Linked DNA regions of Drosophila melanogaster. The protein of the gene in region 3 interacts with the protein of the main gene of each other region in a biochemical or structural test. Each region holds a gene or a part of one and is shown on either strand. Other genes may lie near its edges.

Region 1 (7,807 bases), on a different chromosome or scaffold from region 3:
ATAAGCACATGGACCAACTAAGACAGTGTGTCCAGAGTCTTGTGACGGCAGCCCTTTTTGCGGACAGCAAATCCCAGACGGCCGCCGTCTGCCATGCTTTTCAGACACCCCTGATGGGATCTATCTACCGAGTGATTGTGAGTAAGATGGTCCAGTTGCTAGCCTTTAAGCAGCAGGACCATTTGAGCCAGCGATGCTGGCGACTGCTCCGAGCATGCAACTACAACGCCACTGCTAATCACAATGCCTGCCGGCCGGAGTACTTCAACCTGGCCGAGGTACTGGTCAGCCAGCTAATGGCACCTTACGAAACTATCAAAGCTCCACACGTCGACCCAGATCCGGGACAAACCACCTCCATCAAAATGGAGTTTGAAGAAGAACTAAAGGTTGAGCCAGACCAGTGCCATAATCCGGAAACCCAGGAAAATCCGGAGGTCATGGGAGTAGAGAAACAGGAGCAAGAACCCCAGATGTTTCCGGGTGAGAGCACCATGGAACACACAATCTACAAGCTGCAATCGGAGGAGGAGGAATTGAATCCTCAGCCGGAGGCGGAACACCTATCCAGCTACTTTGCCTGTCCAGTCGGCAATGGCCTGGTGGACGAGCTGTGTGAAACTATAGGACAGCTGGCATCTCAAAGTGGTTACCTACATGCAGAGTGCCTGTTTTTGATCAAGAGACGCCTAGCGAGATTCTTCGAAGGTCGCCACGTCAGCAGTGAGAGAGGTAAATCATCCTTACAATTTGTTAGCCTGGATCCTTATCTTTGGATTTCTTAATTAAGACTTTAGGTATATCAGTAGAGCAGTGCGCGGTCTCATTGCCCTGGGAGAATATGCCTTTCGTGAGTTTATTCCCTACATCTACAAACTGCGCGTCGAGGAAATCCCGGATAGCCTGTGGCCGGATCTGGCTCCGGCTGCCATCTTCCTTGGCGGTCATGATGACGTATACCTGTATGAATGGCTGGAGTACGGATGCGGTGCTGCTCTGCAGCCCTTCTTGGTCCACTATGCGCGTAAGAAACACCCATGTGTTCCATGAAAAGCGGTTAAGTAACTAAAAATCATTGCAGGAGCCTACGAAAAGATGGTAACCAGACGGTATGTGAAGGCCAAACAACCCGCTTACAGAATAGAATCAGTGCCGGGAGTGCGTCGGTTGGAATGGAGTACTCTTGCGGCAGCCATGTGCCACGGAGACGATCCTAGCAAGGCACTCAAACCGAAGCCTACGCTCTGCGAGGCTTTCCCCGACCTTCAGTCACCAAATCTTCAGCTCAACTGCGCGGGCAACATCCGCTTTAAGTTTGCAGGATGCCGCCCGGTGCTGCTGAAGCCGAAGGTTGCGACTGTTCCCCACTCCGAAGACTCGCCTTCGTCGGCAGCGAACGGTGGTGGGGGTGGCGGTGCCAGCTCCGACATCCTGATCGCCAAACGAAAACTCTTTAAGCCCCTGACCAACGTGAGAAAGTGGTCGCCCATCAGTGGCTATCACTACCTAAGGATCTGAAAGGGACTTGGGAAAGTATTATAAGACCTTCTGGAGGTCCAGGAGGACCTGGGGATCTCAATAAAACTCTTCGTTTACTTTAGACTTCCTCTTCGGTCTTCCGAAAGGTGATACAACTTTACTCGTAATACATAAAAACACAGAACTAAAAGGCTTCTTCCTGAGGCGTATGTCCATTTAGTGAGCCCAAAGCGGGCACGGGCATTCCTGCAGCTTTCATCTCCGCCACAATCCGCTTGTTGATAATGTTTCGGATGTTGGCATTCACATCCGGCAGAAGTCCACCTGTTCGAGCTGCGTGCTCAATTCGCTGGACGACGTCGATTTCGCGGCGCGATGATATCAGGTTCGTGACTAGCGCCTTGTCCATGTTGCCCACCCGACCGATCCTGCCACAACGATGGATATAATCGGAGACGTGGAGCGGAAAGTCAAAGTTGACCACATGTCGAGCTCGTGTGGTATCCAGGCCACGACTTCCCACATCGGTGGTGGAAAGGACGTCGCAGTGACCGTTTTGGAACTGCTCGAAGCGGCCAAGACGGATCTTCATCAGCATATCCCCATTCAGATTTAAGCAGTTCACTCCGCTGTTGTTCAGGAAGATGGAAACGAAGTCACTGGTGGTGGACTTGTTGCTGAACACGATAAGAGGGCGACGTTTGGCAAGATCATGCTTCACGAGTGACAGAAGTGTGGCGGGCCGATCGGCCTTCGACAGCCGCAGGAACTTCTGCGTCACATGAGACATCAGTCGGTGCAGGTGCGGACTGACGACCTCACGGATGGTGTCCACGTCTATGACTTTGTGAAGGATCTCTCTGGTGTTCGTGGGCATGGTGGCCGAGGCCAGGATCATCTGGGTGCCAGCATCCTCCTTTTGCACCAAGTGGAACTGTCGAATAAGAAAAAACAAGCTGATTGAAGCCATTCCTTTGGTAATCGCCTAGAATGACTTACGGGAAATCTCCTGAGGAAGTAGGAAAGTTTGTCTGTGAACGTATCATCTAGGAGGGTGTCCGCTTCGTCTAGAACCAGATGACGAACCTGCTCCATGCGGTAGATGCCAGTGGTCACCAGTTTGCTAAGTGCACCCAGAGTGGCGACCAGTATGTCCACCTCCTCGAACTGTGGGTTCATCATAAGCTGCTTGGTATTGCCGCCAAGTAAAGATTGCACTTTGAGATTGGTGCCCTGGGTGAGCTTCTCCGTGACCCCAGCAATCTGCGTGGCTAGTTCTCTGCCGGGAGTGAGGATCAAGACACGGGGGGTGTTGAGTTTTCGTTCGGTGACCACTTCTTTCTGGAGGAGTTTGTCTACGATAGGCAGGAGATATGTAATTGTTTTTCCACACCCAGTTTCAGCGGCAATGAGGCAGTGCTCATTTCCATGGACAACGGGCATTCCCTGTTTTTGGATTCCCGTCAGTAATTTGATGCCCAGCTCGACTCGCAAGTTCTCAAGGAGTTGCGGATGAATCTGCATCCCCGTGCTCTCGAGGAACTCATCGACGGTCTGCATTTCCTGCTGGAGTTCCTCACCTCGCACGCTGGCGTTCAGGATGAAGAAGTCTCCCTTGGATTTGTTGTGCAGCCAGCCCTTGGAGGCCAGCGAAAGACTCCCAAACTTGGCATCCGTCTGCTCGTATTGGGTTAAATCGAACTGGCTTCTTCTGCAGGAGATTAGGGGCTCCCCCTTCTGCTTTTTGCCCTTGGACTTTGCCTTTGGTGGCTTCGTCTTAACTGCCGCCGCCGCCGCTGTGGCATATGAAGCCACATGGCGCGATGATTGCACCCGGAGCACCACGGACAAGTTCAGCATGCTTTCGGAATATTATTCAATGTTTTTCATTTGCCGGCAAGTCAGCTGTGCACACGCATCGAAGTGTTGGAAAGCGCCGCTCGAATTCAATGCCACTTGTGGCGGTAAGTTTGAAATTCATATTTATTTCAAGACCCAGCAACTAATATAATAATAATAATAATAATAATAATAATAATAATAATCTGTTTTTTTTTATAAAATTACATTTCTTCCTGCACATACGAATCATTTATTAGCCGTTCCATTTCCATTAACTGTGGCTTAATGGCCTGGTACTCGGCCAACTGCTGCTTCATCATACATCCCACTTTCACCCGTTCAGCGTGGACATCATGTATAAGCTGTCGATTTTTAATGCTTTTGGCCATAGCAATCTAAAATCGAAGTAATCCAAGTATTACTTAATTCTTCGGAGGTTGAAATACATACCTCGAGTTCCTTTTCCTGTTTCTTAAGCTGTTGCTCCATGAATGTGATGCTTAGATTCAAGTTGTGCATGCGCAGAGGGCGAGTAAGTTCCTCAGGGGACAGACAGTTGAAGTTCCTGCGGATTTACGTTAAAAACCATGGAAAGTGCTGCTGGACAACCAAATTCAAAACCATTCACTAACCAGTTCTTGCCCTCGTGGGCGGCAAACTGCTCCTTAAGCATTTCCAGCGTGGTCAGCTTGGTCTCCACGTCGTTGCCGGAGAAGAAGCACTGGTTCACATCCAGGACGATCTTGGTCATAAGCCGACGGGTGCTGTGGATTATTTGCTCGGTGTCCAGGCTCGTGGATTCGTGCTCCTCGAGGATGGAGGCACACGACTCAAGATCTGAGGAGCTAAGCAATAGTAAGCGTTTGGTCAATCTTTTAATCAGCCATTCTCCTACTTTAAATCCGAGAAGATCTGTCCAATGGCTTCCTCGTAGGCCTGCTTCACCTGTGGAATGACAGCCTGGAGCCGTTTGAAGGCTGCTTCGGTGTCCTCTTCAATATTATTCATACTTTTAACACAATTCTGGCAAAATAATAATTACAAGCAAAACTTGGCGACCGAAAACATATGTGACCATTTACAGATAGGTTGTGAATACCAACCCCTATATGACATGATTGTAGGTATAGGGTATTCGAGCTGCTTTCAATTATGATAACATATATATTGTATAAATTATTTTAAACAACGGTTATTGGCTAATTGGTTAAATTCAAGCATCAAATCTGGTAAGTTGGCATTACTTCGAAAACACTCAATATAACATTGAACTCATTTTTTACGCCACATTCAGAGTGTATTTCTCGAACTGAATTACACAACTTTTCACATGTCGCATCGGCGAAGGAACTTGCAACTAACACTCAATAACTGCACTTTTCAGTTTCCCCGAAAGTTGTGCTTTCACTGCAGTTTGCCACATCGGGAAAACTTGCCACAATGGAATTTCCTTTTATCTCCGCTCTTTCGAGAGGGTTTTTAATTTGTGCAACGTTTTGGGCAAATTGTTGAGGCGGGGACGCAGTTTTTAATATGTTTTGAGTAATTTGTGCGCATTTGCGAATTTTTATCGCAGTCACAAAAGTTTGTCCTTTGTGCTCCTTATCGTGTGCTCCTCGTTGGCGCGGTTGTAATGATGACTTTATGACTTTATTTACGTGCAATAAAGGAAGCATTCTGCGGCAAACTCAGGTTTAAGCATCACCGAGCCACTACTTTCGAATATAAATGCGATCCAGGTTAATTTATTCGCTCGCCGGGTCCGGCATTTCCATTATTTTCCGGGTCCGAAAAGGAACTCAGCTGTGGAGTAGGCAGAATTCGAAATGTGCTCTCCCCTGCACAGGAAAAATCATTTCGACATCAATCTTATAACGACCCATAAATGCCACAAAAATGAAAAGGTGGAAAGTTCGAAATTGTTACCCGGAAAACATTGTTACCCATGGGACATACATGTTTTTCAAAACTTGGTGCATACTTTCAGGCACCATTAAGTGAGATTTGAAAAACCCACTAGCATCTTCTCCGTTTCGATACACATTTTCTCTTTGTGTGGCCCGGATCTCAGATATGCTAAATCCCGGCCAGAATCCTGAGCTGTCCCCTCCAGGAACAGAAGCAGAATCAGGAGGCGTGCCAGTCGGTGGCCGTGTTAACATGCATGTGCCACTCTGCCGCATGTCTTGCTAAAACTCGGCTCCGAATTTGCATTTCAATGATTAAAGTGTTAAAATGCCGGCCGACACATGCGGACTGTTCAGGAACCACCGCCCAGGATCCACCCGCCTTCGTCCTTCGGATAGTTGGTAATGGCTTTATAAAGCGAACACCTCAAGCAAGATGCGATTTTAATATTCTTATTCTCGTGCACATGGTGTGAAAAACTTGGAGATGTTGACTTTTTGTGGTGCGACTGGTATGCAAATGAGCCTAAATTCTGAGACAAAGTTTTGCATACTTTTCTGAATTCTGAATTCTGAATTATACCAATCCAAATAACTATGCATTTCTCACACTGTTTGCGCTTGTCCTGCTCAAAAGAGAGAATATGCTTTCCCCGAAAGTCTTCTCTTTAATTAGTGAAAATGTTAAGTTCTGAAAAAATACTTCTTCTTAATAAACTCATATCACTTACCTAGAAACCCTTTGAGAAAGTTATTCCTCTGAGTTTCCATATAACATAAAGCAATCAGTTCTTGAGCAAAGTTCAGCTGTATCTCGAGGAAAGAAGAAACTTTTGGATATTCAATTCCGAGCGTTCGTGTCTGATCCTTTGACGTCAGATTGCTAAAAAGTTATTCGAGTTTTATTTTACTAATCAGAAAGTCTCGTGTCGTCCTGTCAAGGGTTTCTCCTGCTACAAATTGGATAAATCACTTGGCTCTAATTGATGCTCCATTTTGCCAGTGGGCGAAATTCTGGTCAAATTCCAATCAAGTCAACGCCATCTGCACTGAAAGAAACACTTATCCTTTTAGGCTTCTAAACGTACATTGTTGTTTTCTTAGTTTAAGAACATCAGTGTGTTATAACCATTTGCTGATAGTGTTATCATCACCTTGATTATGCGCTATTTAAATATCGATGAGAAGCGGATATGTTGGCTTGGCTCTGATCTGTTCGTCCTGTGTGCAACAGTGGGTCCTGGCTGGCAGCGGCAGCCGTCGCTTGGCGACACTTGCGGGCGTGACAGGAATGGAGAACCACTGGGAAAATACCAGTGGTGGGAGGGGGTGTGGGGCTGGGGGAGCGGTGCGTCAGCCGCAGTGCGTGAAATGCATTTAAAATTTTCGCTGCATACTTGTCGCCTCGAATTACAGCGCATTTGTCGAGTGGTGCTTTGTGCTTTGTTCGTGAATTTGGGAGCTGCATTCGCATGCAAATCCACAGTGGAGGTCGCCTACGTGTGCTTGACACACATATGTAGATCAATTGTGCAGAATTTGCCTGAGTTAAGCGACTTTTAATAGTTTCTGAACTAACAAGCTGTCGCGCAAATCGATGGTTAGGAGCCGACCACTATTCATGTGACCGCAACTGTGGGCACTCATGCGTGCTGGAAATGCGCTTTAAGCACGCATTAGAACAATGCATGAAACCACAGCTGCCGCCATATACAAGGCTGTGTATATGTATCTGCACATATCTGGATATGGCAGCCGTAGTCCTACCGATTTTGCGGATTAACACTAATGAAACGCAAGTACAATGGTCGAAAGTAGCGTCAGACAATTGGTATGCAAACCGAGTTCCAGCTACACATGTAAGTCCTTCATATCGTTGGAGACGCCTCATCTTCCATGGAATGCGATTCGCAAACCTTTTGTTTGCCTAAGCTCTCGGTGGGAGAGGGGGGGGGGTTGATTTCCTTTTCGGGAATGGGCCGAACAAAAAACAAACACCGGAGCAACAACCGGCTGGTGGGGTTAGTTTACCGAAGCGGCTTTTACGGGCTTAACATATTAATTAAACTTGAAGTGGAAACACGAAACCCGGCTGGGTCAACTTTAAATTAAGTTTTAATCTGTTGCTCATATTTAAACAGCCAGCAGATTGCTGAGTGTGTGGTTGCACTGCGAAAAAAAATCGAAGGTTTGCCACATAAAGTTGCAGCAATTACTTCTTAGCCAAACTTTCAATTCAAACAAATGGCTTTCAACTCTATCTGCAGATGTGTTTATGAACAGTATTATCTGCTTATTTATTATTATTGGCGAGTTGATGGGAGTGCAAGTAGTTCTCCGTGTAGCTTTCCAAGGACACTTGAATTTTGCGTGTGGGTGCTGCGTGCTTTCTTGTAAGCTCCGATGTTCTGGCTCCGCATCTCTAATTGAAATTGGTCATTTGGCACACGACTTCCAGCGACCGACGACATGGAGGTCTCAGGTCTCAGGACTCAGGACTCGGGACTGACGGATGACAGGCGACAAGTGAGTGGCAAGCAACGACATCTGGCTCTCAACTCACCCTGCCTGCACTGAGA
Region 2 (7,964 bases), on a different chromosome or scaffold from region 3:
CTTTGGAATTGCTTCACTCGAAATAAACGCTAGAAACAAACGAAAAATACCTCGGCCAAAAAAGGCAAATAAAAGCGAATTTTTTCGCAAAACTGGAAATCTAAACAGAGACAAAGGAGATTCGTCACAATCGCCAAAGAACGAAAAGCAAAAGTTGCAGAATTGCTGAGAAGATTTGCAGACGGAAGAAGAAGAGAGCTGTTGTTAAAAAGCTGCAAATGCCAATGGGTTAATGAGGGGGAGGGGGGCAAAGAGAAAAGAAGAGGAGCAATGAAGAGAGGGGGGAGGCAAGTAGGTGGTAATAAGCTGCACCCAACCAACAAGCGAAACAACAACAGTTAGCTTCCATTTGTATTTTTCTCTCTCATTAGCCTCTCTTCGCCATTTCCTCTGCCTCTCCGTTTTCTACGTACCTCATCGATTGATGCTAAAAACTATGAATAAAATATAGGTTAGGCCTTTTCCTTATTTGTAAAAAGCCAACGAGCGTTGAACTCGTCTTGTAGCGTGGGAGTTTTGCTTTCGGAACAACGAAACTATTTTGTTTTGATTTTATCTCAGCGAATTATAATGAAATTTATGCACCGGTGTAACCGCGTGGAGATAAAAGAAAAAGGGAAGCAACGAAACGAAAAGAAAAGAAAAAACAGCAAATGTGAAAAACAAAACAAGCGACTAAAGCGATGGGCCAATTATAAAAACAACAACTATGCGACTCTGTACTTTAAGTAAAAGCCGGCATGCGTGCGAGCAAGCGAGAGAGGCAGAGAGAACAGGGCGGCAGAGCGAGAGAGAGCTAGGAATATTTCTGTGTGCCCTGGTGGTTGTAATAAAATGAAAGGAAGAAAAACTGTAAAACTCAAGCGCCGAAGCCAAAAGAACGATTTTGGGGGTGTAGTTAAAAATCACACTATATTGCTATAAAAAATCGGCATGTATTGGCGAATCTTTTTCTTAGAAATGTATTCAGGAAAACACAAGACCACACAACACACACACACATTGCTTTTAGCCTGGTTTATTTGCCTCGCAAATTCGCTTTTCATTCGCGTTTCCCCAGGCAAAAGATAAAAAAAAACTGTAGAAGAAAAACTCACCTATCGGGATGCCTTTGTTTTCCTTCAGCTACGAAGACTTTGATGCCACCGAACTTAATCACTTAACTTTCAATTGGTATTCAACACGATTTTGTCCGCCACTAAACACTGGCTGGTAAAATATTATTCAAAATATGTATAGCACAAACACACTAGAGCTGAGTTAAAATGCACAAAAGTTAGAGAGGAATTGGAAAATGGCGTATCACCCTGTCATCGATACCTGGACTATCGATATATGATGGTTGAAAACGGTGGTTTAACACTTATTCTTAAAAATACTGTTCGGTGGTATTTATTCATTTTGTTTGACATTGTAATGTAAAAGGCACATATTCTCACCATACCGCTGAATGAAATATATTTATATTTTCAACATCACTTATGTTACAAGGGACTTATGAGTAATAAGAGCTAGTGGAAATACCTCAAAAAAAAACCAATAACAGGGTTGTCACCATACTCTATAATTTCTATCGGCCTGGTGTTTTGCAGAAACTTGCAACTGGTCACACCAATGTGGCATTGTTTTGTTTTGTTTACAATTTGAATTTACTAACAAATTATTTCAATGGAGGATTCGGAAGCCGCATTTAAACGCCACGAGGGTGTGGGACCAAAGGTGAAACAGGCCTACGAGGAAGCCATTAAACAAATCTTTGCCGACTTGAGGTAAGCAGCAGGCATAGTTAACATGATAACGAATATTAAAAATCGTTAATATCTAGCTGCGCAGATCTGCAAGCGTGGGATGCCATTTACCAGGAGCACGAGCAATCCGCTCTGGACACCGAAAGCATCGTAGATCGCACTCGCAGTCTGATGACCAAGGTTGTGCTCGAAATGAACCGATGCTTTTTCGCCAGCAACGATGTGCCAAATAAGTTGCAAACTTTGGAAATGCTCAAGGAACATTTCGCTGCCTACGAGGGCAAGAAATGGTACATGTGCAGCATAAAACATAATACGATTCGATTGCATTGCTAACTCTACTCTACTCTATTGTAATCTATAGGAACGTGAACACTGCAGCACCCGATAAACTCACTCGGCCGCTGCGCATGCGATTTTTGGACTTCAGCGTGGAATTCATGGAGCAGCAACTGGCCTCTCAGGCAAAAGAACTTGAGGTGCGATTTGGATATTAGTTAATCTTTGTACTATTACTGCACTGTTTTGAGTGTACCAAAAGATCCCTAAAGTTAAAGAACCTTCGAGAAGATTTTTAGTTTAATAATTTCATTTCTATAGTTTATCATTTGCATATACATATGTACATATCTAGGTTTGTTATTCTATCAGTATAACTAACATTTGTTTATATTTCAATTACAGATTGCTATGGCCAAGAGCAATGCCAATCGCGAGCGACTCCAACATGTCCATGACAAGCGCCTGAAATTGACTGTCCAAATGGAGCAGCAATTGTCGCAGTACGAGAAAGTTAAGACAGAACTTATTAAACTAGGCGAAGCATTGAACGACTTCTGACAAACTTAAATGCAATAAATAAATAAAATACTACGCTATGAGCTTAATGATTTGAGTGGGGGGTCTTAAAATGGAAATTCATACAAACTAATCTGCATATTCATTAATGTACATACATATGTATGTACACATGCATTTGTCATTGACATTCACAATTTATTTAAATTCGTATCATTGCAATAAGCTCATAATATTAACGAGCAATTGTTTGTATTGGCGACAAAAAATCTTTTAAAATTGAATGTATATACATACATTTCAAGTTATCTCTATAAAGAATACGATAAATAGTACGAAGTTTTTAGCTAAACATGTGTAAACTTATGTATGTATGCATGTGTTTTTTGAGTGATTTCTTAGAATCGCTGTGTGCTTACACACTCCCATACATACATACTTGATTGCGTAGTATAAATCAAAGGAATGGTATTAGTGTAAAAAAGAACCGAATTTTTGCTAGATCTTCCTCAAAAAGTAACTAATAATATACATTTAAAGATGTTTTTTAAAAGATTCGTTTTAATTTCCCTTGTGAGACTGCACTCATTATACAGATTTTCAGTTATATTTTAAGGCAATAAGGACATTGACTCTTTAAAGTGAGGTTATGTGATGTGTGTATTATTGAAATTGAGCGCTTTCGCACACACAAAGAAACACACTTATTGCATATGTGAGTTTGAGTGCGGCCCATTCCCACTTGATTTCAAAGGTCATCTTCTAGCACTGTCACAAAGATTTCGAGTTCAATGGAATTCAGCAGTCCGTTCTTTTCGATTTGACCGTCGACGGAGAAGGAGCTTACATCTCTTGGTAAGCCATTTAAAATGTTGACAAATCTAGACATGATTTTCCCAAGTGCCTGGTATCAGCAAAGTGTTATTTTTTATGTTTATGTAAAGTACACGTTTCTGGTACTAAGTACTTCGAGAAAGTTACCTGCGTAGGATATCAAAACTATCACTGCAGTTTCAGGCTTTTCCCAACTACACCTATTAATACATATTTTAACGTCCTATTAAAGTTGTAGTTTGGAAAGTTTTGGTTTTGCATTAGAAATCGCCACTCAACTTGGTTTTTTCTAAAATTATTTAGGTCCGTTTTGCATATTTTAGGTGTTTTACAAAATCTGTGTAACATACTTAATATATTTTTAGAAAACTAACACCTAAGTGTACGGAATCAAAAAAAAAAAGACAAATATGTGATATTTAAGCAAATTTGCCATAATCTCAAAATAGGAAAAAGTCTGTTATGCTTATATTTGAGTGTTTTAAAAAATTAGAAAACCCAATTTTAATTATTTTTAGAAAAGACAAAATGTGATATTTATGCTTGTTTTTGTTTGTTTTACAAAATTGGCATAACCGTCTTTTACCTATTTTTAGAAAACTAACACCGAAGTGTACAAATTCAAAATGTGATATTTTTTTCACATTTGCCATAATCTCCTTAAAATAGTAAAGGCTGTTATGCTTATTTTTGTGTTTTTTACAAAACTGGCATTCCCGTCTTACTTATTTTCAGAAAACTTACACCAAAGTGCACAGATTGAAAAAAAAAACACAAAAATGTGATATTTCATCACTCATCAACTCAAAATAGTAAATCGAAGGGCAAAAAAATATGGTATTCTGTTTGCTATTATAAAAGTTCACGAGCTAAGCTAACGATTCATTAAAATATGTACATACATATTTAAGTGTTAAAAAAAAATGTGTATCTCGCGAATTCCTTCGATTTCCTCGCGTTGCCGCCATTTTGAATATTCTCTCTCCCGAAAGTTGTAGAGTAGAGCAAAAACTTTGGATGTTTTGAGAGTTCGAAGTTCATACTGTCATCCCGCTCTAAACCTCTGCATTCCATTGTGTCCCGTTTTGTGATTTTTCCTTTTCGGGATCTTCTTTGCGTTCTTTGCCCCCGGCATTCAAATTCCGAGAGTCGTCGCGAGTGGTCGTTTGAAACGTATTACCCGACATCGTTCTAGCCAACAATTTTCTGCTGCGGATGGGGGCAGTACTGTTTTTTTAACATTGAGTATTGCACTTTTCACAGCCCGAAAATGTTAGCAACTGCCTTATACTAACAATTAGCATTTTTAAATTATTAGAAATGTGAATTAAGTTTGAAGCGATTTGGTTCGTCACAAGGGCAATTCTGCATTTTTTAACTAGTATTGCACTTGAGACGGCCTGATTACTTTAAAACGAATCATTTTATGAGCAAAGTAATTAGTTTTGTTGTGTTTTTAAACTCCTTGCAATAGGCGGCAAGACGGTGAAAAATCGAAATTTCTAGATCATTTTTCGGACGGTATATGGGTTAATATTTCATTTGTCGAATATATTGCACATTCACCGGCCTGAAAATATCAAGAATTAACATCGAAAAGTGAAAAAAAAGTGTTTGCGAAAACATAAACATTTGCAGGGCGGGTCGTGTGTCAGTGTATTTATATCTTAGCTATATTGCACACTTCCCGGCCTTTAAATGTCCAATGTTTCAACATTTAAATCTGTGAAATCGTAAAATTATAAAAATCCAGTTGCGCTTTTCTCGGAAATCCGCAATCCGTTAGGTGTGAGCGAGATGACAGCTGTTGCGGTTCTTCCCCATTCCTCTTTCGCTTCGTCACAGACTTGCCAGATCGGCAAATTGTGTGCAAAGAGGAACGGGGAACTTGGTTAATTTCTTTTGCAAGTGGCAAGTGTTTAATTATTACAATTTGTGCTTAACTTAATATTGGCCGATGCTTGAGCTAAATATTCCCGTACAACTGGTGCAACAAAGTAATAATAAGGCATTTTGAGTTGAATTTAGCAAATTAAATTAGTGCGCTCGGCTGGTTGCCTTTATTTTGCACGTCATTTACCGTTTTTCAAGAGGGCCAGTAGTGTATGGCCAGTAAGTATGCACAAATAAATGTTTCTAATCCGTTTAATGATGGGATGGCCATTGGTTTGGAAAACTAACAAGTAGGAGAATCATGAATAATGCCCAAGCACGCGCGAAATCAAGAGGTGTGAAATTGGGTTCACGGGCTGCGCCTTGGGCTCTGGAAAATGCAGTAGATGACCAGCTGAAGAACGGTTTTAGTTTTGGCGGAAGTGTAAGTGTACCGTTAGTACATATAGCGAAATATATAGGGAAAATATCCATAACAGCTGCTGCATTTAGCTCATTTTAAACTATTACTTCCCTGTTCTCATCTGTGGCCGTTGAGAACGAACCGGCAGTTCGTGCTGACAGCGAGCGCAATTACATAAATGTTTGTTTTGACAACAATAGCGAGTGCAACAAAAACAACAACAGCAAACGCAACAAAAAAGCCGGAGACGAGATTGCATAATTGCTTGTAAGATTTTGCTCCCACAATTTCTCAGTTTTTGTCATGGGACAAAAAAAAAAATTATACAAACTTACCGGCTGATTGTTATCTCCGGCAGAGAGCGGAAAAGAGCGGTAGTGAGAGCGATCCTTTTACCGTATTTTACAGCCTCTCGGTTAAGCTAACTTGCTAAAGTCGCTCTCTTTTTCGCCGTGCGACAGAGATGCTCCGTGCGAGAGAGCGACTTACAGTGGGTCATTTTAATTGTGCTCTGCTTATCTAAATGTATTCAAGTATATCCATAAATTGTAATGTAGCACTTTCGTAATTGCCGGCTTTATTTATGCACTGTGAACAGCCAGGGGCTAGATGGCGCCTTAGCATTTTTCCCCACTGTCCACGCTCTAATGCCTAAGAGCGTTGGTTCACTAGCTAGTTTATAGCTAACTTTTGAAAACTCCGTTTGTTAAATAATTATTCAACACTATCTTATTCAAAATTCTTAAAATATTTTCTAAGGATTTTTTTTTTTACCAATGAAAGCATAATATAATAAAAATGCATATAGATTTATGTTGCAATAATTCGGATAAAACGGCACACTTATCTTCTTATATACATACGTACTTATTACATTTCTTTTGGGTAATTAACCAATTGGTTAACATTGAGTGCTTTCACTATAGTTTTGCACTCTCTGCCATATAAGAACGACTTCTGCTCTGAAACTGAGTCAGCATCTCTATACGCCGGCTCTCGATTCCCGAGGTAATGAAGTTGCAGCCGAGCTGAGCCTCAGTTGCCTGGCGACTAGCGAACAGCTTGGACGTGTGGTGTGCTCTTCGGTGTGGTTTCGAGTCTCGAGTTCCGAGTTTTCCCCATATTGCAGCCGTCAAGTAAGACCCGCTCCGAGTTTTGTGTGAATTTGTGTGATATGTGTGTGGTTCGCGGCTCGTTTCGTTTTTTATTTGCCGTTGTCATTGGTTTTTGATTTGTTGAGCGGTCGCCGCAAGCCACTTGACGGGCATTCTCTTCTGGCTTTGTTTCATAATAACTCGCTGTGTGTGTTTGCGATGCGGTACATATATATGTTATGGTACCTACATATATGAATTGTGTCTGTGAAAACGTCAAAAAGGCCAGGCCAAGAATACAAATAACAAATAAAATGTTGGCCCGCTTGTGGAGCATGTGCCGTTGCTTCGGCTTCGGTTCGTTCGAAATGCTTGTAATAATATGCCGTTTGTCTTTCCGTTTCTACCCCGACCAATTAGATCCGGAAATTTTGGAAAATGCTGCTCTCAATGCAAATGTGGCGCTCTCTGTGGCTGGCGGCCCTATTCTGCGGATTAGCCCAGGCCAAAGGTAAGCACTTTTTCTATCTATATACTATACGCAAAAATTTAAATATAAATATCAGAGTTAAGATCGGGGAGTGCAAGGCTAAAAAGCTTGAGAAGCTCCCATAGCGCTGCCATGATGTCATTCGCGTAATGAAACACAATAAGTATTTATTTTTTCTTTTCGATTTTGTTGAAAAACCGACAAAGTGACCTCGTTTTTGGTCGTGAAGTGCACATACACACACAATTTGTGGCCATTTGGAGTGATGGTCGAATAAAACGATCTTCGGTTTTGTCGGGGGCGTGCTGGAGCTTTTTTTTTGGTAAAAAAACGAATGACTGAGGCAACGAACTTGCGGCGACTTAATGAAGTTTGGCAGCGCGGCCCTGTCATGATTCACTCACTCGTTCTTACGCTTCCTGCCATATATTAATGCTAAATTGTATAAGGCATATATCCCTCGAAAGCCCTAACACATTAGTCATTAACTTGCCTGCCCCTGCAAGTTGCCTTTAACAGCCAAGACAACAAACGACTAAACAAACTATCAAGCGAGCGCGGCGAAAAAACAAAAGACCAAACAAGACACCTACACAAACACAAGTGCTGGGAAGGCAACATGACACGCCAAAACAAAAAAAAATAAGATATTACAAAGAAATAAAAAACAAAGCACAGTCCAGCCAACAAGATAATATCGACGA
Region 3 (8,099 bases):
TAACCACACAAATGTAAAGTTCGACAAAGGACAGCCGGTGGGTTTTGTACATCCTAAAACCTCAACCCGATCGGCTCCCTTTGGAATTTAGTTAAGTTTCGCGGGCTAATGGCGGTGACCAAGGGGAGCACCACATCCAGAAATCCCCAGAGGTGTCTCCTTGGGCGCAAGCCATTTTCCGGACGTTTATTCTTTGCCAAGAGCTTGACAGCGTTATTTAAGGTGAACCTAAGGCCTGGAGTTGTAAGCCCTAAAATGTAACTAGTAAACTTACTAATATGTTTAGTAATAGCCTAAATAAAAGACAATTTATACAAAATAACCATTCGTACTTGAATGCTGCCAATGCTGCTTATTATTTCATGTGCGCTTACAGAGCTGACAACTTAGTAAAATAAATATTAGGATCCTTAAATTATGTTGATCATTGCTCAGTTAGTTTAGTGTATATTCCAATTTAGAGCTATAGCTTGTGCCTATTTTCATAAATATATTAGAAACAGTAATTTTGTTTTAGGTTTAGCTTTTTTGAACTTAGCGTTCTTTCCCAAAAAAAATGGGATTTTCTTCGGAAAGAGTTGCAACTCTGGCTGATGATTGTCAAGTTGGCCTTGCCGCATTCTGCTTTTTGTCAGGCATTTTGGATTAATTCGTTTGTTGAAATTGTCAATTGCTTCAGTGAAGAATTTTTAATCTGCTTAAACTTGGAAAATGATTCGCGCCATGGTAATGACCAAATGGAGTAAGTCGGTGGCGGGACCACTGGTCACAGCGTGGAGTAAGTGAAGCAGGCACGTGTTTTTTTCTTAGCAAACTTTAACGCCTTTTCCCACCATAAAGACTACTCCACATTGAATCGCCTCAATGGCAATACTGTGCGCCCGCGTGCTCTGTTCCTGAATCTCGACCGCAAGTTCTCCGCCGAAGGTGGCGGCGATGAGAAGCCCAAGAACGTGCCGCCTGGATTTGCGGCTCCAGGGTTTCCATCCACCTTGGGCAATAACCCAGAGAACACCACGCGTAAGGATGTGCCCATTGGCGAGGTGCAGGCGCCAACTATTTCCGTAGTGAACGCAGGCGGTAAACTGGGCAGAGCTGAGCCACTGGAGGCCAGCACCATCGTGCGCAGCAAGGGCACTTCGAACGAGGACAAGATGACCGAGGCGCAGAAGAAGGCATCGGAGGCCAAGGAGGCGGCCGCCAAGCAGTTGCAGGATGTCATGGCCAACTTGCCTAGCAAGGAGCAGACCGAAAAGTATTTCTTTCGCGTGGTTGCCTTCTTCTATGACTTGACCTACCTAACCGCCACCTGGTTGCTCAACTTTGTCGAGCACAATATCGTTCAAAATGCCAAGGTGCAGCACTACTGGAAGCGATTCCACGAAAAAATGGAGCAGGCCAAGAAGGATTAACTCCCAGCGGAGCCGAAAAATATATTATAAAACTCATGCGAAAGCAAAAAATAAAACAACTCGCTGACGAGTACAAAATTACACTTGACTTGGCCACTTTTCCATCAGATTAACGCCGAGGTGTAGCCATCCAGTAGTTTGGCCAAGAATTTGAGTATCTTGTTGCGAGCGGCCACCAGTTGTGGCGGATCGGTTTTCACCGGCTCATACATATTGGCGCAGTGAGCGGTTCCTAAAAAAAAAAACACAATAAATGCTTACATTACCCAAGTTATATGTGAAAAATGTGTTGGTAAGCACATACCTTCTATGTAAATGGTAGGAAGTGCTGCGTTCGTGGACTTGACCAAGCCCAAAGCATGCCAGGGATCAATGGAACCGTGCACGTACAACACATTTGTGGTCTTTGGCTTTAGGGCGCCATAGTTATCATTTGTGGCGGACACCACCAGTTTGAGGAACTTGGCGTTCATATTCTTGGAGAACACATCCATGCACTGGCGTATAAAGAAGTCGACACCGAAGCGATCACCAAATGTGTCAGCCGGGTTATCCGAGGTCTGATAGAAGCCGAATTCGTGGCAGGTCTGATATGTCCACTGGCGCATTCCCTTGGCCGTCTCCGAGTCCCAGGAAACGTTCTTCATGTCCGCCACCATCTTGTCGTACTTGTAGTCCAGGCAGGTGGTGTTCGATTCCTTCAATAGCATATCGTTGACCAGGCCCAAACGGGTCACAGGTGGACCAGCCGTGGTGTTTAGCATGACATCGCAGATCTATGGAGTTCAAACATTCTTAGTATGGACTTGATAGGGATCAAAGTGAGGATGAAACACACGTCGTCAATGGTGATGGTGGCATGGGGACTGTTGTCCTTGTTGTATTGCACCACTCCAGCAAAGTTGCCAGCCAGATTCTCAAAGAAATTGGCCATGTCCAGGTCGTTTTCAATGGAGTCCTTGATGGGAGTGCATGTTCTGAGTATAAAATGGTTTACAAAATTAAAATTTGTGCAGGACGATAGCCTAATCCACTCACTTGAACTTCTCGTCCAGGCTGCGTTGTCCAATCATGTGCTTGAGTAGAATCTCCACTTGCGCAAAGCTGCGGGTCACGGCGTCCACGCATTCGGGCTTGTAGGCAGCTAGAGAGGCTTTGACCACCTCGAAATACTCCTTGAAGTCAACCTCAGCCAGCAGAGGACCACTGGAGCTAATTGAACCGTAGATGAGCTCGGGATACTTCTCGCGTGCCCAGGCGGCCAGCGATCCCGGATAGGAGCCACCGAAAGCGATCCATTTCTGGCCATCGCCCAGATTGAACTTAACCTTCATGGCGGTTACAAAGCTGGCCAAGTCCTCCAGAGCCTGCTCCGAGCTGAGATAGTGCAGATTTTCGGTGGACAGATCAGCGGTGGGATGGCTCTTGCCATAGAAACGATGCTCCAACTGCAGACACAGCGCTCCAAAGTGCTCGGCATAGTGCACCCAGGCTCCTTCGCGCATCCACTTGGCCGACGCCTCGCCCTCGCCACCGATCATCAGGAATACGGGTGCGGAGCTGTCATTCCGATAGAAGTCGGCATTCACAAAGTATCGCTGCTGCCAGGTGCGCTTATCGCTCGACTTGAAGTGATCCAATCGCTGCTCGAACCACAGATCCTCCGAGTGCAGGCTCCTTTGCAGGGTTGGAATCTTGCTGGGCTCCCCGAGGAATCCCTTGGTCAGCCTTCCGCGTCGAAATCCCATTCCGGAAATGGGCGCAAGCAGTCCCAGGAGCAGAAGACCCACTCCCAAGGGCCTCAAAACGCCCCCAATGAAAAGCATATTTGCTTCCTTTGTTTGTTCGGGTCAAGTAGAATTTGCCAGTAATTGAAGTATTTAATTAGTTGGAACCTCGCACAGTGCCTAACTGTAAATAGCGACTGAAGGAGAGTGGTGTGTTCTATTTATATAGGCACCGTTATGTGTGTCGCACTCTCCTGATTATTCAGTTCTCGCTGTATTATCTATATTCGCAAAGCCGGCAAAGCAAAACTAAAACAGTAGGGGCATTCATAGTTATTGATTTCAATCATTAATTGAATTAATTTAATTTTAAGCAGAGAAAGATTTCTGTATGCTGTAAGTGTTCTGGTAACTTTACAAAACTTAATTTAGCTTTTTATTTATTTATATTATTTCCTAGCTAGATATTATCGATGAGCTTAATAGCACCGTAAATGTGAACGTGTTTTGCAAAATTTTTGTCAAGTAATTAAGAAAAGTATACATTCTTGCATGCTTTGATAATTTCCATCTGCGTGTAATTTTAAATTCTCACTGAACTAATTTAATGGAAGTTTCCTGAATTTCAAATGCTTTAGGTAGCTTTAATAAACAACATATAGTTTATTTGAATTATTCCATATATTAGGTAAATATTATTGTGGAGTTTCACTGTGCCGTTAATGCGAAAGCTTAATAAATGTATTTGTCAAAAATTTTAGGAAATTGTGCATGTGTATGCGTTGTTTTTATATTTTTCATCTGTATAGTCAGTTATAAGTAGCCAAATTTAGTAACTAGATTTTGTAGCTAAGTATGGCAGCACTGTTGCTGTGGTAGCATCTCTTTGTATTCTGAAAACGGTAACACTAATTGCGCGACAATTTGGATTGTTTACGTTTTTATCCAGTTTAATTGTAATATAATTTAAAAAAAATATTGTTGTTAACTGTCATAATGGACTTCAATAGCCTAGCCTACGATCAGAAGTTCTTCAATTTCACAGCGGCACAGTTGTCTGCAGAGCGTGAGTGCTACATCCTTATATCTCTGGATCAGCGTCCTTTATCCATTAATTCCTTTTAAATAGGCGAACATATTGTGCAGGACATAATTAAGAAGGGTATTGGTCAGATCATCGACAAGATCAAGACACCCGCCACAGCGGAATTGCTGGAAGCCGAGAAGGAGACCGTTGAGCGTCGTTTCCAGGCATCCGCCTCCAAGGGCCTAAAAGCCCTCAGGGAACTGGACAGCAAAGTGTTCCACGTTCCACCGCATGTGCTGCATCCGGAGCACATGTTCGTCGAGAATCAGTATACCAGCGAAGAGGAGGAGCAGAAGACAGCCAGGTTGGAGGAGCTGAAGGCCAAATACAGAGAGGTAACTTGTAGAACCAATGGAAACTATCTTGTATGCCTCATTTTAATCATTATAATGGGGAAAAGGATGCTTTATTTTATGTTTTAATAATGCTAAATCACATCAATTTCAGAACATGGCCATGCTGGCGCATTTGAAGATCGAGGAGGAGAAGTACGCCGCCATGGAGGATCTCATCCAGAAGGAGATCGAAATGCAGGATCGCGTGCAGCGAAGCTGCTCCTCCCTCAACATCACCAAGCTGAAGCAATTCTGGAATCAAGTGCCCCTGCAGATAAAGAAGGAGACTGATTAAATAAACTAACTGGATCAAGTTTTTTAATCTACATTTCCAATATCTTCTTTCGAAACTAGTTTTAACCCTGGAGTCATTTATAATCACTAAGACTCTTCTATATTCCACTTTACCTATTATTATGTCGTTAACTTAGTTTTAAACTTAAAATTAAATTAAATTAAAATTATTATGAATCCGAAACACCTAGATGATTACTTACTAGTTTTAAACCAATTTACCTTAGCATTATATTAGTTCCTTTGACAACAGCGGCAACCAAGCAACGGTCGCTGTTTAAATTTTCCAACTGCCTTGTTTTCAAACAGAAAACAAGCCGGTTAAAAAGTTTCAAGCACAGAACAGACACAAAAACCCCCTTATATGTTACATTTCGAATCGTATATTTTGCTATAAGCCTGGAAAAATGGGAGACTCGCACGATGTCTGCAGGCAGCTGCTGCCGCGCGCAATCTTCGGCATCAATGGCAAGGTGGAGAATGGAGTGCGCCAGCATCCGGTCACGGGATCCATCATCTTTGCGCTGGGCAACAAAATCGGCATCGCCGACTACAAGAAGAATACGCAGGAGTTTGTGGCCGGACACACGAACACCATATCGTGCCTGGATCTCAGCAAGAGTGGCAAATACATGGCCTCCGGTCAGATCAATCACATGGGCTTCCGCGGCTATGTGATCATCTGGAATTACGATCAGCGCAAGGAGATCGCTCGCCACGATCTGCACAAGGTATCTGTGCAGGCCATCTGCTTTACTGCCCAGGATAGATGCGTTGTGTCCATCGGTGGCGTGGATGATGGTTCCGTAATTGTCTTCGACATGGAGGCATTGTAAGTTGTTCATATCAGAGCTCATGCTTGAACTCCTTCAATGACTTCGTTTGCCATTACAGCTCTCCCATTTGCCAAACACCCGCATCGAGGGCCATCTCTGGAAATGCCTTGACTGTCCGGCCGTTGCACAACAATCCCTACTTCTTTGTGACCGCCGGCGATCGCCATCTGCGTCTGTGGAGCATCCTGCGTGAGGAGAAGAAGCTGTACGTACAGGATGTCCTAATGGCCAGCAAGACACGGGTTTTCTACTGTGCGCGCATCAATAAGACGGATGAGTTTGCCTATCTGGGCACCGGAACTGGGGACATTGTAAAGATCGTGCTCAACTGCTGCGATCGTGATCATGTGAGCAAACAAGGCTCAACCAGCTGCATCCTCGGAGCCTTCGGCACCCACAATCCCAGGAAGCCAACGGGCAGGGACTGCAATCGTTATGTGAATGGTGTGCGTGCACTGTATGTCCTGGAAGGCGGACGTCTGCTGATTGGAGCGGGAAATGGTGATATAGAGCTGGTGGAGGAGCGTACCGATGTGCCGCTCATTAACTTTCGCGATTATCCCGGACCCACATGGCCATATTTGCGCACCCTGAAAAAGACGCACGTTTCGGGCAGAATCTCGTCCTTTGTGCGCTCGAAAACGGACATGTTTTACATCTGCACGGACACCAACGAGATCTATGGGCTGAATATCAAGACTTGGGTGCTCAAGCTGCTGCGAACGTGCCACACCAAATCGGTCTACTGCATCACGTTTCCCAAGTGAGTTTGGATGGAACTAACCCTTCTACTTGCAATCTATTTGCTACAATTGATCATATATATGTATTTAAGGAACTACTCTGGTGTCTTTGCCACGTCGGGCAAGGAGTGCATCCGCATCTGGTCGTCTGGTCGCAAGCAGGAGCTGCTCCGCATCATGGTTTACAACTTCAACTGCGCCTGCGTGCGCTTTACCCACGATGGCACTAGCATAGTCTCCGTTTGGAACGATGGCATCATTCGCGCCTTCACTCCCATCACCGGTAGACTCATCTACGCCATACCCAACGCGCACAACAAAGGTGAACTTTGGGAATACCAATCCTTCTAAGCCTTCTTACTGAAATCCTCTCGTTCAACACAGGTTGCAGTGCATTGGCCGTGGCCTCGTCGGGTCGCTTGATCGTCACTGGCGGCATCGAGGGACAGGTGAGGGTGTGGAAGATCGATCCGTATCGCCAGGATCTCGTCGGCGTGCTGAAGGATCACTCGGGGCCCATAACCTCGCTGGATATCAACTATCTCGACACCGAAGTGATCTCCGCCTGCACCGATGGCTCTTGTGTAATCTGGGACATTAAGTGAGTTAATCTCAGTGGCAAAGTATAGCATGTATTCCTCATTCACCAAGTAATCCCCACCAGACGCATGACCCGCAAACAAGTGGTGACCGCTAATACGCAGTTCATGTCCGCATCCTACTTCCCAACTGGAGTGCAAGTGATCACCTGCGGCTCGGACGGCAGAATCATCTACTGGATGGTGTACAATGGAGCGTTGATCAGGGAACTAACTGCGTCCAAGAAATCGTCGGTCAACTGCTTGGCCATCAACGAAACGGGTGACTACTTCATCACCGTGGGCAGCGATCTGCAGGTGAAGCTGTGGGACTACAACAGTGGTGCTGTGGTGGGCATCGGATCGGAGCACGCCTCCTCCGTGATCAGTTGTGCGTACAGTCCCTGCATGACCATGTTTGTCACCGGCAGCACGGACGGATCGCTGATCATATGGGATGTGCCGCGTGACTTCTGGGGCAGGCCCAATCCGCCGGATGTCACCAAGTATTCGCTACCAAAGACATCGTCCAAAACCAGGATGAGTGACGTGCCGTCGCGGGTGAACTCGGGCACCAATCTAAAGACGACCAAGGGCGAGAACATCGATGGCCTGCTGAAGGCCACTCCCAAGGACGATCTCTGCTGCGTGGAGTGCCCGCCGTGCGCCAAAAAGGATACCAAGGGCGTGGATCCCTATGCCGAGTGCGGAATCGTTCCCGATGTCCGCAAGTGCTGAGATTTTCCTTTCCAATTTCTTTTTGTCGTGAAATAAAGGCAGTTGTCCTTTCTAAGCTTGATTTAACTGAGATTATTTATGGGAGCTTGATTTTCTAGGATAGATTGGCCTTCTCTTTTATAAATCGTATTGTAAGTCATAAGGAGATATGGCTTTGAATAATAGTCTTATTAGATTAAATTGATTGATTGCTGAAGGAAACCAATTTCAAATTCAATTTAATTTGATCAAATGAGTATTTGGTCACACTTAACAACTGTGTTGCATCAAACATGTTCGTCGAACCAATTTTCAAACATGAAAATGAGCAAGCAAAATATTTTAAACTTAAAATTAAGTCTCAATGAAA
Region 4 (4,879 bases), on a different chromosome or scaffold from region 3:
AAGCGCAGCATGTGCATCACCTGGCTGTTGCGGTTAAGGAAGTTCTTGCGGCAGCTCTGGCAGCTAAAGTACTGCGGATCCTTGTGGCAGTGCAAATGGTCGACGTACAGTGTCCGCTTCTTGTACCGATTGTTGCAGCACTTCACATAGCCAGTGCAGTCGTGCTCCACGCGAAAGTGGCGCTTGAGATCGTTGAAGTCTTCCAGCGGGGCGGCGCAAATGGCGCAGTCGAGCTTAACATTGGCGGCTATATAGTCGTCCATTTCCTTGATGCTGCTGCGCTTGACGGGCACCTCCGAGGTATCATCATTATCGTCGGCGGTTACCAGTTTCTTGGTCTTGGGTCGGCCACGTTTGCCGCGCGGCTTTGGCTGTTCGTCGGCATCTGGTGTTAGCTCGCCCCCGACATCTTCTTCGTCCTCCTCGTCTTCGTCGCCATCCTGATCATCCTCTGCTCCAGCACTGCTGCGTTTAAGTTCCCTTTGCCGGGCTCTTGATTCCCGTAATGATAACTCTGTGATCTTGGCCTTGTTCTGCTGTTTGCGCTTCTCGTACTTCCTTTTGATGATTTGATGCGTTTGCTGCAGCGCAGTTTTGCGCGGCCTGCCCCTGGGGCGCGGTTTTACCGGATCCGGCTCCGGTTCTTCTTCTTCATCTGGCTGCGATTCCGGCTCGAAGTCCGGTTCAAAGGTGTCGCCATAGTCACTGTCTTTTTCATCGCCCGCGGACAAGGCGTCGATGACGGGTTCGCACAGTATGTGATCCTTGATGTCATCGCCCTCATAGCTGAGCTTTGGCTCGATTGGCGACTCCGTGTTCCACACGACCAGGGCGGGCTCCGGCTCCGTCAGTTCGGGCAGCTCCGGCAATTCAGTTTTCAGCTGCAAGGAGCGGTGCAGCGACCGCTGCTTCTCCGCTACCATGGAACAGAATTGCTCGATCTCGGCCAGCTGCCGCCAGCAGCGGTTGCACAGGCACGTGGACACCACGTCGTTTTCCGCCAACTGAAAGCGAACAATTCAATCATTAGAAAAAAACATCTTTTTGGGGTAGAAAAGTCCAAATCCACTCACCACCAGCAGCAGATGTCGCTCGATCAGCTCGGCCAGCTGGCGATGTGCCGGTTGTCCCATTGGCGGTTCCTGGCCGAAAATGGGCACCCCGTGCTCAGCATCCTCCAGGCAGAGTCGGCATATCATCTCATAAAAGGAAGGACACAAATCCCGAGTCGAATCGCGTTAAATGCAGCTGTTTTTGATTCGTTGCTGAGTTTTGTTATGTGAGCGTTACCGGACCGCGAAAAGAGACCTCCGCGACTGATTGTGCAAACACAAGAAAATAGGCTAGAAAAAATAGCTAAGAAGATAACCAACACATTGGTTCAATATTTTGTGACTAAAATTAATCAATTTAAATGCTTTTTTTGTATAAACTTTATTGCGGTAAGGTTAGTTTATTTCTGAGATGTATGCTTTTTGAAAGCTCTGAACTTTGACAACTTCCGCCTGACATATTGAGGATATCAATTGATGTCACATAAACTGCGACGAAAGATTCATTTCTTGCTGGTTGCTTGATGATGGCTGACGCATTGGCTTCGGCGGCGGTATTGGTCTCTCCTTGGGCTTGGAAATAGGCTCCTTAATAACCAATAAATCAGATTCGGATCCGTGCAGCAGATCCATATTTAAATCGATATTTTCTCCCAAAACCTCGTTGATGGTATCAGATAAGTTACCCATCTGTTTCCGCTTCTCTTCCAACTGCCTTTTGGCTATGGCATCGTTGACCAGATCCTCGATGCTGGGCGTTATTTGGAGGGCAGGACGATGACCGCTGGGCAGGAGATAGCGATCTGCCAAAACCATCAAATGGCTAAGAACGGAGCAAACTTGTTGCCACACCAATTCGCCCCATTCCAAGGTGATACGTCCCAGGACCTGGTCGAAGGATTCGTTACAGCTAAAGGATCGCAGGAACTCCTCGTAGATCACCTCACTGCCGCCGCCCACAGAGGGCAACATCCAGAACAGGAGAAGCACCTTGAACTCACTTAGCAATGGAATAAATGCCAGCAGACCCGCTGTGAAATAATCAAAGGCCACATAAACTCCATAGGCAATCCAGTAGATTAACCATCCGCGAAGATCATTGACGCTACAATTCTGACTTTTCAGGATCTTGTAGGACGCGAATGCTGGATAGAAACAGCCCACCAGAAGGGACAGTATGTGTATCACGATCGCATAAATCATTATTTGGAAATTTTGGATAATCTTAAAATTTTGGATTTTGAGAAAGTATATATATAGCTGTGTATTCGGTTCTCGATTTTGTTCATTTGGTTTGACTACTTGAACAAATACAATAAATTGAAATGTGATTCTAAACGCAAGGCCTGCTTAGCATTCATAAAATGACTTATGCCCTATAACCCTTTTCCCCTTTTTTAGTTCAGCTTTTTTTCAATGAGTATATATCTTTTTATTAATATTAAAAGTGCAATTTTTTATATCGTATATTTTAATTTGTATAAAAGGTTTTGGCTTGAAAAGAGCCAGAGCGAATTACGTTCAAAAGATGTGGCATCACTGGATCAGCGATGGGTGTTGGCAAGCGTTTACGGATTTAAAAACTGAAAACAAACGAAGCGACGCGATGGAGCCAGCCGAAAGTCCAGAAAAATTAATGAAATTCGTACGCCGCAGTGACGTACTGGAATACGTGGGCAACACGAGTGCCGTCGATCTATCGAGCGGTGATCTCTCCGACATCGATCTCAAGGACGTGCCGGCCCAACTGGAGGCCACTTTGAAACCGCGTCGCTATGAAGCAAGCACTTTGTTTAACATTGACCTGGACGATAGTAAGTGCAATCCTTGTGGTTAATTAAATTGCCATTTACTTAACGTACAGACTTTCAGTCTGGGATCCTAGCTGTCAGGAGGACGAGGTGCAGCAGTACAAGGAGCGCGCCCAGAAGGAGCAGCAAAAGTTCTTCGACTTTGTAATGCATGCGGCACTGGACACGGACAATCGCAAGGTTAGCTTCAAGCCAAACAAGGAGCAGCAGCGTTACCTAGATCAGGGACCCAATTTGCAAAACTTCGTGCGAAGCTCGTTGGCTTTCACAAACGCGGCCATCCGATTTCAGGCGGAGCACGAGGACATGATGGAGCTGCAGTGCAATATGGACGATCACTACCTATTCATGCGGAACACCATGATCAACAACGCTATACACCAGAATATGGCCAACCAACGGTGACCCTAAGCTATGCATAAATATACATATGTGAATTGTAGATATTGATAAATTAAATTAAGACTCAGAGATTGTAAGACGGTTTGCTTTTGGCTTATACAGTATAATTCGCTTAGCTGCCTCGAGTACTTTGCACAATGCCTCGATGCAGGTAACTTAAAAATGCAGCTAACTTAATTTTTTTTTTTCTATTTTCTATTTTCTATTCACACAAAAAAATGGAAAAATAATGCAGATATCTTGCCGATGCAGCTAACTATCGATGCAGCTAAGCGAATTATACTGTATTTATTTCTACCCTAATATGTAACTCCCTAAGTTGCACTTCTGATGATGGCTGCCTTTAAGTCTGACCGAAAGAAATGAAAACCGATCAAACGTCTTGAAAACATTGTCTGTATGTAAACTGAAGTTAACAAAGGTTTCGTTTTATGTTCTGGTCTACTCAGGCGTTAGGTCTACTTTAAATTGTGTGTATATTTGTGAGCTGCTTATTCCTTGTTCCAGGCTGCCAGGTATTTCATGAGGTCCGTGAGACTCTCGAAATCGGTGCGGCTGGCTGGTGGTTCGTCCTTGGTGATTCTTGGCAGTGCATTGCCCATCTTGAGGCGGAACTCCTGGAACTGCGAACGAAACGAAAGATTTAAAGCGAAATTCATTGAACAAATCGGAGGCATGCTCACATCCTTGGCTCCGGATAGCTTCCAGAAGCCGTAGCAGAAGGCGCCGGTGCCCATCACGGCGTACAGTGTGCCCCAGCCCAGCGCCCGCAGGGCCAGGGTGGCGCCCTCGTCCATCAGGATCATGCCTTGCCGCGTTCCAGCCTGCTGGAGGACCTTGCTATCCGTCTTCTTGGCGGTGGCCAGCGTGCGCGAGAAGCCGAACAGAGCGGACACCCCGCCCACCAAACCCAGAAAGGCGGCGGCTAGAAAGGAGGATGAAATGGAGTTGTACTTCAGTCAGTTGCTGGCTGATATATATGCGTGTGTCTGTATGTGTTTGGAGAACCACCTACCCTGGATGCGGAACTTGCGCTCCTTCTCGGCGGCCACTGCATCCGCGCTGGTGCCGGCCTCGCTCATCCTTCTCAATTGCGATTTATTGTTGTCGTAACTACTAATGCCCGAATTGGATCGCACAACACAGCTGATTGCTTGACCGCTCTTGACAACCAACACTGGTGCCGCAGCTGCCACTGCCACTGACGCGTTCGCAGAGGTGCTAAGATGGCGGGAGGGAAGCTAGAAGTGAAGTGCTAAAAGATAGTTCAAAATATTCAACAGGTACTGGCCTTTCTCACTGACTATGAGAGTCAATTTGATTTTAATGTGCTGCATTTAATTTATTTGTTAAATTACTAACTAATACTAATAGATATATTTATATAAAAGATATAGCTAAAAAACGTCAGTCTGGCAACCCTGCTACAACGACCGCAATATGGTATGGTATTTCGCCGCTCGCCCTGCAGTCACACTTTTCGGTCGGCGTTGTCCGCATTTTCACATCGCATCGCGTCTGAAAAAACGGGCTAATTCGCATTCGCAATCGCCTGTAGGGCCCGACTGGTATAGAATGCACGCCCAGCGTGCCAGCAACAAACAGTGATTGTTT

Evidence for each region.
Region 1: the proteins of Mis12 (region 3) and Nnf1b form a complex in vitro, tested with the Drosophila melanogaster proteins (one study listed by BioGRID).
Region 2: the proteins of Mis12 (region 3) and Nnf1a form a complex in vitro, tested with the Drosophila melanogaster proteins (2 studies listed by BioGRID).
Region 4: the proteins of Mis12 (region 3) and Kmn1 form a complex in vitro, tested with the Drosophila melanogaster proteins (2 studies listed by BioGRID).

Annotation. Positions count from the first base shown.
Region 1 is NT_033779.5:807,168-814,974, reverse strand, and holds Nnf1b (Nnf1b), read right to left. Parts: upstream 4,399-7,807; 5' UTR 4,330-4,398; coding exon 4,217-4,329; intron 4,167-4,216; coding exon 3,954-4,166; intron 3,887-3,953; coding exon 3,772-3,886; intron 3,717-3,771; coding exon 3,543-3,716; 3' UTR 3,444-3,542; downstream 1-3,443. Other genes in the region: Saf6 (SAGA factor-like TAF6), read left to right, coding at 1-732, 791-1,024, 1,082-1,518; Dbp21E2 (DEAD box protein 21E2), read right to left, coding at 1,664-2,413, 2,479-3,339.
Region 2 is NT_033778.4:20,580,878-20,588,841, reverse strand, and holds Nnf1a (Nnf1a), read left to right. Parts: upstream 1-1,603; 5' UTR 1,604-1,668; coding exon 1,669-1,769; intron 1,770-1,825; coding exon 1,826-2,038; intron 2,039-2,112; coding exon 2,113-2,227; intron 2,228-2,432; coding exon 2,433-2,588; 3' UTR 2,589-2,620; downstream 2,621-7,964. Other genes in the region: qsm (quasimodo), read left to right, coding at 7,209-7,281.
Region 3 is NT_037436.4:6,964,971-6,973,069, reverse strand, and holds Mis12 (Mis12), read left to right. Parts: upstream 1-4,021; 5' UTR 4,022-4,135; coding exon 4,136-4,205; intron 4,206-4,268; coding exon 4,269-4,561; intron 4,562-4,673; coding exon 4,674-4,856; 3' UTR 4,857-5,035; downstream 5,036-8,099. Other genes in the region: CG10063 (uncharacterized protein), read left to right, coding at 712-778, 841-1,412; CG9953 (uncharacterized protein), read right to left, coding at 1,517-1,644, 1,717-2,188, 2,251-2,389, 2,451-3,238; CG10064 (uncharacterized protein), read left to right, coding at 5,263-5,687, 5,750-6,454, 6,527-6,756, 6,819-7,035, 7,099-7,750.
Region 4 is NC_004354.4:11,570,178-11,575,056, reverse strand, and holds Kmn1 (kinetochore Mis12-Ndc80 network component 1), read left to right. Parts: upstream 1-2,614; 5' UTR 2,615-2,658; coding exon 2,659-2,866; intron 2,867-2,924; coding exon 2,925-3,268; 3' UTR 3,269-3,674; downstream 3,675-4,879. Other genes in the region: CG11696 (uncharacterized protein), read right to left, coding at 1-1,004, 1,074-1,199; Reepl1 (receptor accessory protein like 1), read right to left, coding at 1,533-2,255; CG11699 (uncharacterized protein), read right to left, coding at 3,757-3,888, 3,949-4,190, 4,281-4,347.